2 linked regions of the Schizosaccharomyces pombe genome follow. Changing the gene in region 1 together with any one later gene gives a genetic interaction. Each region holds a gene or a part of one and is shown in the gene's direction. Other genes may lie near its edges. The genes, in order: psu1 and orb6.

Region 1 (4,414 bases):
TCAAAACCGCCTGGAAATACCATTTCAGTAGGAAGATGAAAAGCGATTGTTGCAATCGAACGGACGTGTTCAATGGCGTCGAATAAAACGCAATCGTGAATTTCATTCCACAGCTTAATTAAGGAAGAGGTTAAAACACGCTTTTGTTTCAAAGGGAGCCATGAAGATTTCAAAAAAAAGGTTGGAGGAGAGTTAAAAGGATATGCTTCAGGAAGAAAGAATTCCATGACTAAATCCGGGAAATGCCTCACTACGATTGTATCTGTGAGCGTAGATTCATCGGGAGACTTAAAGGAAAGGAAATAGTCGCTCTCTGTATTAACTGGTATGTTAAGCCGACCATAGTTATTACCATCCAAGTGTATTTCGGGATAGATTGATTGTAAAGCAATTAGTTCATCTGCAACTAAATGTTTGTTATCTGATTCCACCTCCACCTCCAACATACTCAATAAAATGCCCGAGTTTACCAATAAATCACAAAGAATTTGGAGCAACCTTGATGAAACAGTCAACTAAGAAGACCAAGATTTCAAGGCAACAGAAAAGTGAACAATTCAAAGAATGTGTTTTGATTCCAGAATAATGAAAAGACGATTTCTGCTGGCCACCTCAGCAATTAAGAAATCGCCATTTGGTAAAATTTCCGGTATGAATTTACATTAGTAAGGCAATAAGAATATGCTGTCTCTCTTTTTACCATGTAAGAATAACGTGTCGTTAACCAAATGGACTGTAAGTATGCTAAACGTCACTGTGTAAAATAATGCAGTTTTCTATAGCTCCTTTCAAACTAAGCAAAGGAAAAAGACGTTAATCTACTCGTGTGCAAAGTTTTCCATGCAGGGTACCGAAAATTCTTGACTTGCAACAATTCAGAATATACTTATATATCAATTTCGTCAAGTTAAAGTATTGCTCATATCTGAATATGTAATAGACCATCAGTTGGTCTAGAAGAAAAGGAATTCTTCTCCAACCATGGTATATGGTCCAAAACAATAAATATTAATGAAACTATAGTTAAGAAATGAAGGGCATAGTATTTTCAGCTTCCTGAATATGAAACGATTTGTTTTGTTTATGGTTTGATCTACCTTAAGCAGCGCGTCATCATTCCGATCCGTTAAATGTTTAAAGTAAATGTAGTCTGATGTTGAAAACGCAAGATTGTGTACTACGGTATCGTGGTATGATGGATAAAAATAGAAATTGATTAGCCGATGAAAACCATCCCGTAAGCTTCTTTGGAACGTCATTTTACGATACGTAAAAACGAGATCGATAACTAAGCTTTACGACGTCAAGAAGATGGCCATATTAAACGAGGTTTTAAAAGTAAAGTTGGGGTGTACGCTAATTAAATTATCGATAAAGAAAACTATGATGTGGTAAATGAAATCATGATTAATTAATTGAGAAAATTAGTAAACAAAGAAACTTTAACCTCTTAAAAACGTAAATCAAGGAGATTTTGAAAAAAACAATATCAAAAGAAGCTCTATTTGCTTCACGTATAAACAGGGTTTATTTTAAACAAAAGAAAACGGTACCACCTCAGCAAACGGTAGAAGCTCTTACAGAGTACTTACTGCACTTGGTATCGTAGTTTAGCGAGCTCTAGCCCATTGCAAAGCCTCACCTTAATAAATTAATTAAATATATTACTCCACCAATCATTTAGTCGTACGTGGAATATAAAGTTGCGGTCTCGATTGTCCAAGTTTCACCGGTTCCGTGACGCGTTGTGACTGCTTCCGCGATAGGTAAAAACAGGCCCTCTCCCTACCAAACCTGCCTGTCGTTTACCAACAACCGTCATTAGAAATCTACAGCTAGCTGTTATAATATATTAATAGTTGGATACCGGCCTGTATTCCTATATACCCAGAGATACATTCAAGCAAACTTTCTTTTCTTGACTTGTCTCATCTACTATCGTTTTAAAGAATTTTTCTTCGTTCGTTCCTTGAATTTTAGACACATATAAACCTTCTCTATCTATCTATCCATATATCTTTTTTGTGTATAATTTAGCAAAATGCGTTTTTTCGAAACTTTAGCACTTGCTCTTCTTACCACTGGCGCTTTGGCCGCCCCTTTCCGCCATCCTCATCACTTGCTTAACAAGCGTGATGTGTCCGTCGTTACCTCTAAGGTTTACGCCTATACCACCGTTACTCTTGAGGCTGCTGCTTCCGCCATTTCTACTAACGGCGCTGCTAAGGAGGCTGCTACTGCTGCTGGAGACGCTGAGACCACCAGCTCGGTTGCTGCCTCTGTCACTCCCGCTGCTTCTAGCTCGGTTGCCGCTTCAGTTACTCCCGTTGCTTCTAGCTCCGTCGCTGCTTCAGTAACTCCCGTCAGCTCTAGCGCTGTAGTTGACTCTGCCACTTCCGCTGCTGCCTCTTCTAGCGTCATTCCCACCTCCTCTAGTGTTGTTGCTAGCTCTAGCGAAGTTGCTTCTTCTACTACTTCCTCTGCTGCTGCTTCTGCTACTTCCACTGGCAGTAGCTCTGGTGGTTTCCAAGACGGTGTTTACGATTGCACTGATTTCCCTTCTGACCAAAGCGGTGTTGTTGCTTTGGATTACCTTGGTTATGGTGGTTACTCCGGTATCCAAATTGGTGATGGTGCTGGTTCCTCTTGCGTTGAGGGTGCCTACTGCTCTTATGCTTGCTCACCCGGTATGTTGAAGACTCAATGGCCTAGTACTCAACCTTCTGACGGTGAAACCCGTGGTGGTTTGCTTTGTAAGGGCGGTAAGCTTTACCGTACTAATACTGCTTACGATAACCTTTGTGAAAACGGTGTTGGCACTGCTTCTGTTCAAAACACACTTGGCCAAGGTGTTGCCATTTGCCAAACCGATTACCCTGGAAGTGAGAACATGGTTATTCCTACCTATGTTGGTGGCGGTGCTACCTCTCCTTTATCTGTCACTGATAACGCTAACTACTTCCAATGGGAAGGCAAGGGTACTTCTGCTCAATACTATGTTAACAAGGCTGGCTATACTGCTGAACAAGGATGTCAATGGGGTACTTCTAGCGGTGACTATGGTAACTGGTCTCCTCTTGTCTTTGGTGCCGGTATGACTGATGGTACTACTTGGTTGTCCATCTCTCAAAACCCCTTGACTTCTCAACTTGCCAATTACAATGTCAAGATTGTCGGCGCTGATGGCGCTTCTGTTAGTGGTACCTGTGTATTTGAGAACGGTGCTTTCCAAAATGGTGGCAGTGGTTGCACTGTTGGCATCACTTCTGGATCCGGTGTCTTCGTTTTTTACTAAGTTCCCTAATGATTGCGATTTGGGACGTAGGGGATTTTTTTAATATCTGCTTGAACGCTACTTTTGTTAATTTGTAATCCGTCCTTACGGTCAAATTTCTTTAAATTGTCCTTATTAGACGATGTTACAGGCTTGTTTATGATCGAATTTTTATAGATTCGAATTTCTGTCTGTCTATTTTGTTCTTTGCATTGACAGTGATTATTTGGAATCCTATTTCGCACAGAGCCGCCGTTCTTTGCTTTGGACATTATGTGATGTGTGTTGTCTTTAAACCTAATTTTTTTTAAACGTATGAATATTGGTCTTGAAGGATTTAACTTGTTTGTTTGAAAAATGCAGTTTGTTTTCACCAGAAGGAGGTGCATTTTTGAAGCAGTTTGGAAACTTTGTATACGTTTTTGTTAAGTCCTTTCTCTCATTTGGGTTGAAACTTTTTTTTCTTTATTTCTCTTTAAGCGCTACTGCTATTTTACCTTCGTTTTTTTAAATGTTATTTATTACGATTTGTTAATAAAAAAAAGAATTGTACAAACTGATAATCTAATCTAACTATATTTGTGAATAAATTAATAATGTGAGTAATTGAGTAAGTGAGTTTTAAGTTTTGATCTTTTTTGTACTTCTAATTTTTTAGTGTAGGATGAGACACCTGTTAAATTAGTTAGCAAAGCTGCGTTGTGTATAAAAGATAAGATGCATTATTATATGGTGGATGTTATATCTTGACAGATAAGTAATGGATCTTCGCCTGGTTGGGAATCAATTCGCGCAACGAGAATATAAACGACGGACCAAAGGGACTAACCATTGCAAAATTCGTAAGTATTTTTAGTCATTTGATAAGTTTTTGTTGTAACTTGAATGAAATTTTTTTTTTTAAAATACTTGAGCATGGTTTGATTGATATGTCATGGAGGTGTACACAGTGACTATCATTTGAAGAGCGAATATGAGAAGTTAAAAATTTATTGAAACAGCGAGATGCTAGAAGGAGCGAACACAAGTGTTTGAGATGTTATGAAAATTATCTAAACGAGGCAAAAGGTTCAGACATTTCTAAACTGATGCTAAAATGATTTTGAATTTATAAAATAGCAGCTAGTTTATTAGAATGCT
Region 2 (4,874 bases), 810 kb from region 1:
CAGAAGTACTCTCACTTTCCATGATTTCGTATCTTTCAGAAATCTTAGTTATGCTTAATGTAAAGTAACAATGCTTGATTTTGTTACTTGAAGGGTGTTAAATAAATCACGAACTTGCATTATTCATACATTAGAAAAAACAACCAAAATACTACAAAAAGTAGTCTTTTTGAGCTAGCCATTCTAAGAATAAGAATTCGCTTGATTTAAATCTCCCAATTGCCTCTACTCAAAGTTGTATAAGTATTGTTTAGCATGTCTCTTGAAGAGAATGTAAAGGAAGCGAAAAACGCTTTTAACATTTTACAGACATTATCAGTGGAAGACCGTGATGATGCATTGGATAAAATAGTTGAAGAACTGCGCATAAAAAAGTCAGAGGTTCTAGCTGCAAATGCTGAAGATATGAAAGCAGCTAAGCTCTTGGCTGAATCAGGAAAACTAAGTTCATCGATGGTTAAAAGATTGGATCTGTCTTCATCTGATAAATACGATTCCATGGTACAGGGTGTTTTAGATGTTAAAAGTTTGCCTGATCCCCTTGGTCGTGTTACTTATGCTCGTAGTCTTGACGATGGTTTGGACCTTTATAAAGTCTCTTGCCCTGTAGGTTTATTGCTAGTCATTTTTGAAGCTAGACCTGAAGTAATCATTAATATTACTTCCCTGGCTATCAAATCTGGTAATGCTGTTGTACTTAAAGGAGGCACGGAATCAGCAAAGTCTTTCGCTGCACTTTCTAATGTTGTTCGCTCTGCCTTGGGCAAAAGTAAGGTTCCACAGGCTGCTGTGCAGCTTGTTCAGAGTCGCGAGGAGGTATCACAATTATTAAAATTGGATGAGTACATAGATTTGGTTATTCCCCGCGGCAGCACTAATCTTGTACGCCATATAAAAGATAACACAAAAATTCCTGTTTTAGGTCATGCTGCAGGACTATGCTCCATGTACGTCCATGAGGATGCTGATATGGAATTGGCTAGTAAACTTGTTCTGGATGGAAAAACTGATTATCCAGCAGCATGTAATGCAATTGAAACTTTGTTAATTAACGAAGCTGTTTTATCTTCTCATCTTCCTAAAATTGCTGAAACTTTAACTGAAGCAAAAGTTACATTAAAATGTGATCCCGCTTCTCTTAAGGTTTTAAAGGATATGCCAAAAGTTAGTGCTCTAGTTGAACCATCTGTCGATCAAGATTACAACACTGAATTCTCTGATTTGATTCTTGCTATTAAGACTGTACCTTCCTTACAGTCCGCAATGCAGCATATAAATACACATGGTTCTAAACACACGGATTGCATTATCACTTCTAGTGAAGCAGCTGCTAACAGATTCATGGCTGGAATTGATGCTTCTGGTGTGTATTGGAATGCTTCAACCAGATTTGCCGATGGTTTTCGTTATGGTTACGGTACCGAAGTTGGCATCAGCACCAACAAAATTCATGCTCGAGGACCAATGGGTCTTGATGGGTTAACTATTTACAAGTACCAACTTAGAGGAAATGGTCAAGTTGCAAGTAGTTATGGAGTTGGACCTGGCAAACGCGCATTTAAACATACCCCTATTAATATAGACAATATTTCTCAGGTTTCGAAAAAATAAACACAAAAAAGATTTGAAAATTATGTGAAATTGTCAACGTTTTGGCTAGCTGCATTTTGGATACAAATCGGTTAGGCTTTTTTTGTTTACTTGTTTGTCTATAATATTTAAATGGGAGTTTCAATAATGTGAAGTTATTAAATGAAGAGTAAACACCAAATTAAATAGATAACTATTCCTGTAGAGTTCGATCCACCACCTTTAGTTTTTATTACACAAATATTTTTATGGTGAAGAACGAATTGATGTCTCCGTCCGTCTTTTTTGACTATTCATTTCAATTCAGATTCTAAAATCTTCGTAAGCTAAGATTCTTGGCTTCAGTTAGTAGCGTCGTAATATTGAACAGGGAGGGTTAGGAAATGCGCGGAGCTTATCGCAAGCGATCGTTGAAGTTATATAACAAACTGCAGAAGTACTTGCTTTTCCAGTATCGCAGTTTAACATATTTTTATCGGATTATACCTTAGCTGGCAGTAGTCCTATAATTAAAAAAGCATAATAGGACTTGTCATTTACCATATCCGATTTATCACTGTCTCATTTCTGTTTTGCATGTCTTGTTAATTCATGTTTTAAGCGATTGAATTTCAATCTTTTAACAATTTCTTTTTGTTAATTAATTCGTTGACCTTGTAGTTGATTCTAATTAGTGTAAAAATTCCATTTATTGCAACATTTCTTTCAATATGGATAAGAATGATTACTTACACTTTGAACGGAACCCTTCATTATTTCCGAAATCAACTTTAGACAAAGTCCAAAAGACAAAGAAATATATTGAACATTATTACAAGGTGGCAGTTGATCATGCTGTAGAGCGCAACCAAAGGTACGAGTAGCATTACTATTCAGGGTTCTAGCATTGTTTCACATTCCTCAATTAGTATTCCCATCTTATACGTTGATCGGATAAGTATCAAAGACGATGCTTTTATTAATTCTTTCTCCGTTCTCAACTTCGCGTGTTGCAGTAAATGCATAATCTCGAATGTTTATAAAATCTTAGACAGCTTACTCATCTTGTTTCGAAAATGTTAATTAATAATGCTAGCTTCCGTTTAATTTACTTTTAGGTATAAATACTAATTCTCTTTAGACGTATCAATTTGGAGCAACGATTAGCAACCGAAAGGGGTTCTGAGGAGAGAAAGAATAGGCAGTTAAGAGCATCTGGTGAAAAAGAGTCTCAATTTCTTCGATTTCGTCGTACACGGCTTTCTTTAGAAGATTTTTCTACCATCAAAGTTATTGGGAAAGGTGCATTTGGCGAGGTACGTTTGCATAATTGTTTATGTTTTTGGTATCTAATTAAATAGGTTCGGTTGGTTCAGAAACTCGATACGGGTAAAATCTATGCCATGAAATCTTTGCTTAAAACTGAAATGTTCAAACGTGACCAGCTGGCTCATGTCAAAGCAGAACGCGACTTATTAGTTGAATCTGACTCCCCATGGGTGGTGTCATTGTATTATGCTTTTCAAGATTCACTGTATCTTTACTTGATTATGGAGTTTTTACCAGGCGGTGATTTGATGACCATGCTAATAAATTATGATACTTTTTCAGAAGACGTTACTCGCTTCTACATGGCTGAGTGCGTTTTGGCTATAGCTGATGTTCATCGAATGGGTTATATTCATCGGGATATAAAACCGGATAACATACTGATTGACCGGGATGGCCATATAAAACTTTCTGATTTCGGACTTTCCACTGGTTTTTACAAGCAAGATCAGAGTGCCTCTTACATGAAACCTCGCACAGGAAATACTGTCAAACGTGGTCAAATGGTAGATGCTATCTGGCTTACAATGTCTTCCAAGGACAAAATGGCTACTTGGAAAAAGAACCGTAGGGTGATGGCCTATAGCACTGTGGGTACTCCTGATTATATCGCTCCAGAAATTTTCTTGCAACAAGGGTATGGTCAAGATTGTGATTGGTGGAGTTTAGGCGCTATCATGTTCGAGTGCTTAATTGGATGGCCTCCCTTTTGCAGTGAAAACTCTCATGAAACTTATCGAAAAATCATCAATTGGCGTGAGACTCTGACTTTCCCAAATGATATACATTTAAGCATAGAAGCTCGTGATTTGATGGACCGACTTATGACAGATTCAGAACACAGATTAGGTCGTGGCGGTGCTATTGAAATAATGCAACATCCTTTCTTTACTGGAATCGATTGGGATCATATACGAGAAACTGCAGCTCCATTTATTCCGAATTTGAAATCTATTACCGATACACATTATTTCCCTGTTGATGAGCTTGAACAAGTTCCTGAACAACCTGTCACACAACAACCTGCTTCTGTTGACCCTCAGACGTTGGAACAAACCAATCTGGCATTCCTTGGGTACACTTACAAAAAATTCAATTATTTAACGATGAAAGGAGCATTGTAAGACTTCTGCAAGAAACTCCATAGCTACTTTGTTCATTGTCCTTTGAGCATCTAACTATTGTTATCGAATTTTTTTTATCGTTAATTCATGTTTACCTTCTTTTACATTATTTTAGCATAACTAATAATATTACCAATTACTTTTTTTTAATGTTGTCCCTACTGATAAAATCTTACATGCACTTCTGTAAATATTAAATTCGTTGCATAAGAATTCCAAATTAATGCATAGATTTTATTAGGGAAAAGATAAAAAAGAGTGAGTAAAAAACATGTATTAATAAGTACAACAGGATGTTAACGCCAAGAAAACCAACCAAAATAGTAAACAATAATTATGAAATGCGGATCATGACCCATAACTAATAGACAATTTCTAATTGAACAGTGGGAACCCCAGAATTTTAACATTTTACCAGTAAACTGACTATCGTCTAAAGAAAGTTTCATATACTAGAATTGGATTAATGAATTAAATGCCTAATCTCGGCTTTTTAAATATTGTTCAATTTCATCGACAGATGGTGCATTGGCTTGTAAAAACTCACCGCTCTCTTGCTCAAACCGAGAGCGGACAAAGGCATCGTTTTCCATTTCCACAAATATGTCGGTGTCCGTAGGACGTAAAGTCCTTCGTAACATTTGGGCAACAATATCAATTGTTAAAGCACAAACCATTACAAAAAGCATAGTAAGCCACCATGAAGGATTTTTGCCAAAATGATGGAGAAACTGTGATCTAGCAAGATATAAATTCTTGTCCGGATAATGCTCGCTTATAAAGATATTAAATAAAAACCAAGCCAAGGACGTTAAAACAAGTACTATTATAGAAATGATGTTTATGTATTGC

What was found.
Region 2: of psu1 (region 1) and orb6, extra expression of one rescues a mutant of the other (dosage rescue), as found in Schizosaccharomyces pombe (one study listed by BioGRID).

What each region holds. Positions count from the first base shown.
Region 1 is NC_003424.3:1,820,817-1,825,230, reverse strand, and holds psu1 (beta-glucosidase Psu1), read left to right. Parts: upstream 1-1,800; 5' UTR 1,801-2,041; coding exon 2,042-3,295; 3' UTR 3,296-3,830; downstream 3,831-4,414. Other genes in the region: itt1 (ubiquitin-protein ligase E3), read right to left, coding at 1-446; SPOM_SPAC1002.20 (uncharacterized protein), read right to left, coding at 954-1,259. UniProt on the Schizosaccharomyces pombe protein: Involved in cell wall synthesis. May be required for the activation of 1,3-beta-glucan synthase.
Region 2 is NC_003424.3:1,006,139-1,011,012, forward strand, and holds orb6 (serine/threonine protein kinase Orb6), read left to right. Parts: upstream 1-2,124; 5' UTR 2,125-2,300; coding exon 2,301-2,443; intron 2,444-2,710; coding exon 2,711-2,885; intron 2,886-2,930; coding exon 2,931-4,022; 3' UTR 4,023-4,180; downstream 4,181-4,874. Other genes in the region: gamma-glutamyl phosphate reductase Pro1, read left to right, coding at 256-1,611; dnf1 (P-type ATPase), read right to left, coding at 4,502-4,874. UniProt on the Schizosaccharomyces pombe protein: Interacts with pak1/shk1 and coordinates cell morphogenesis with the cell cycle. It is essential for maintenance of cell polarity and is involved in mitotic control.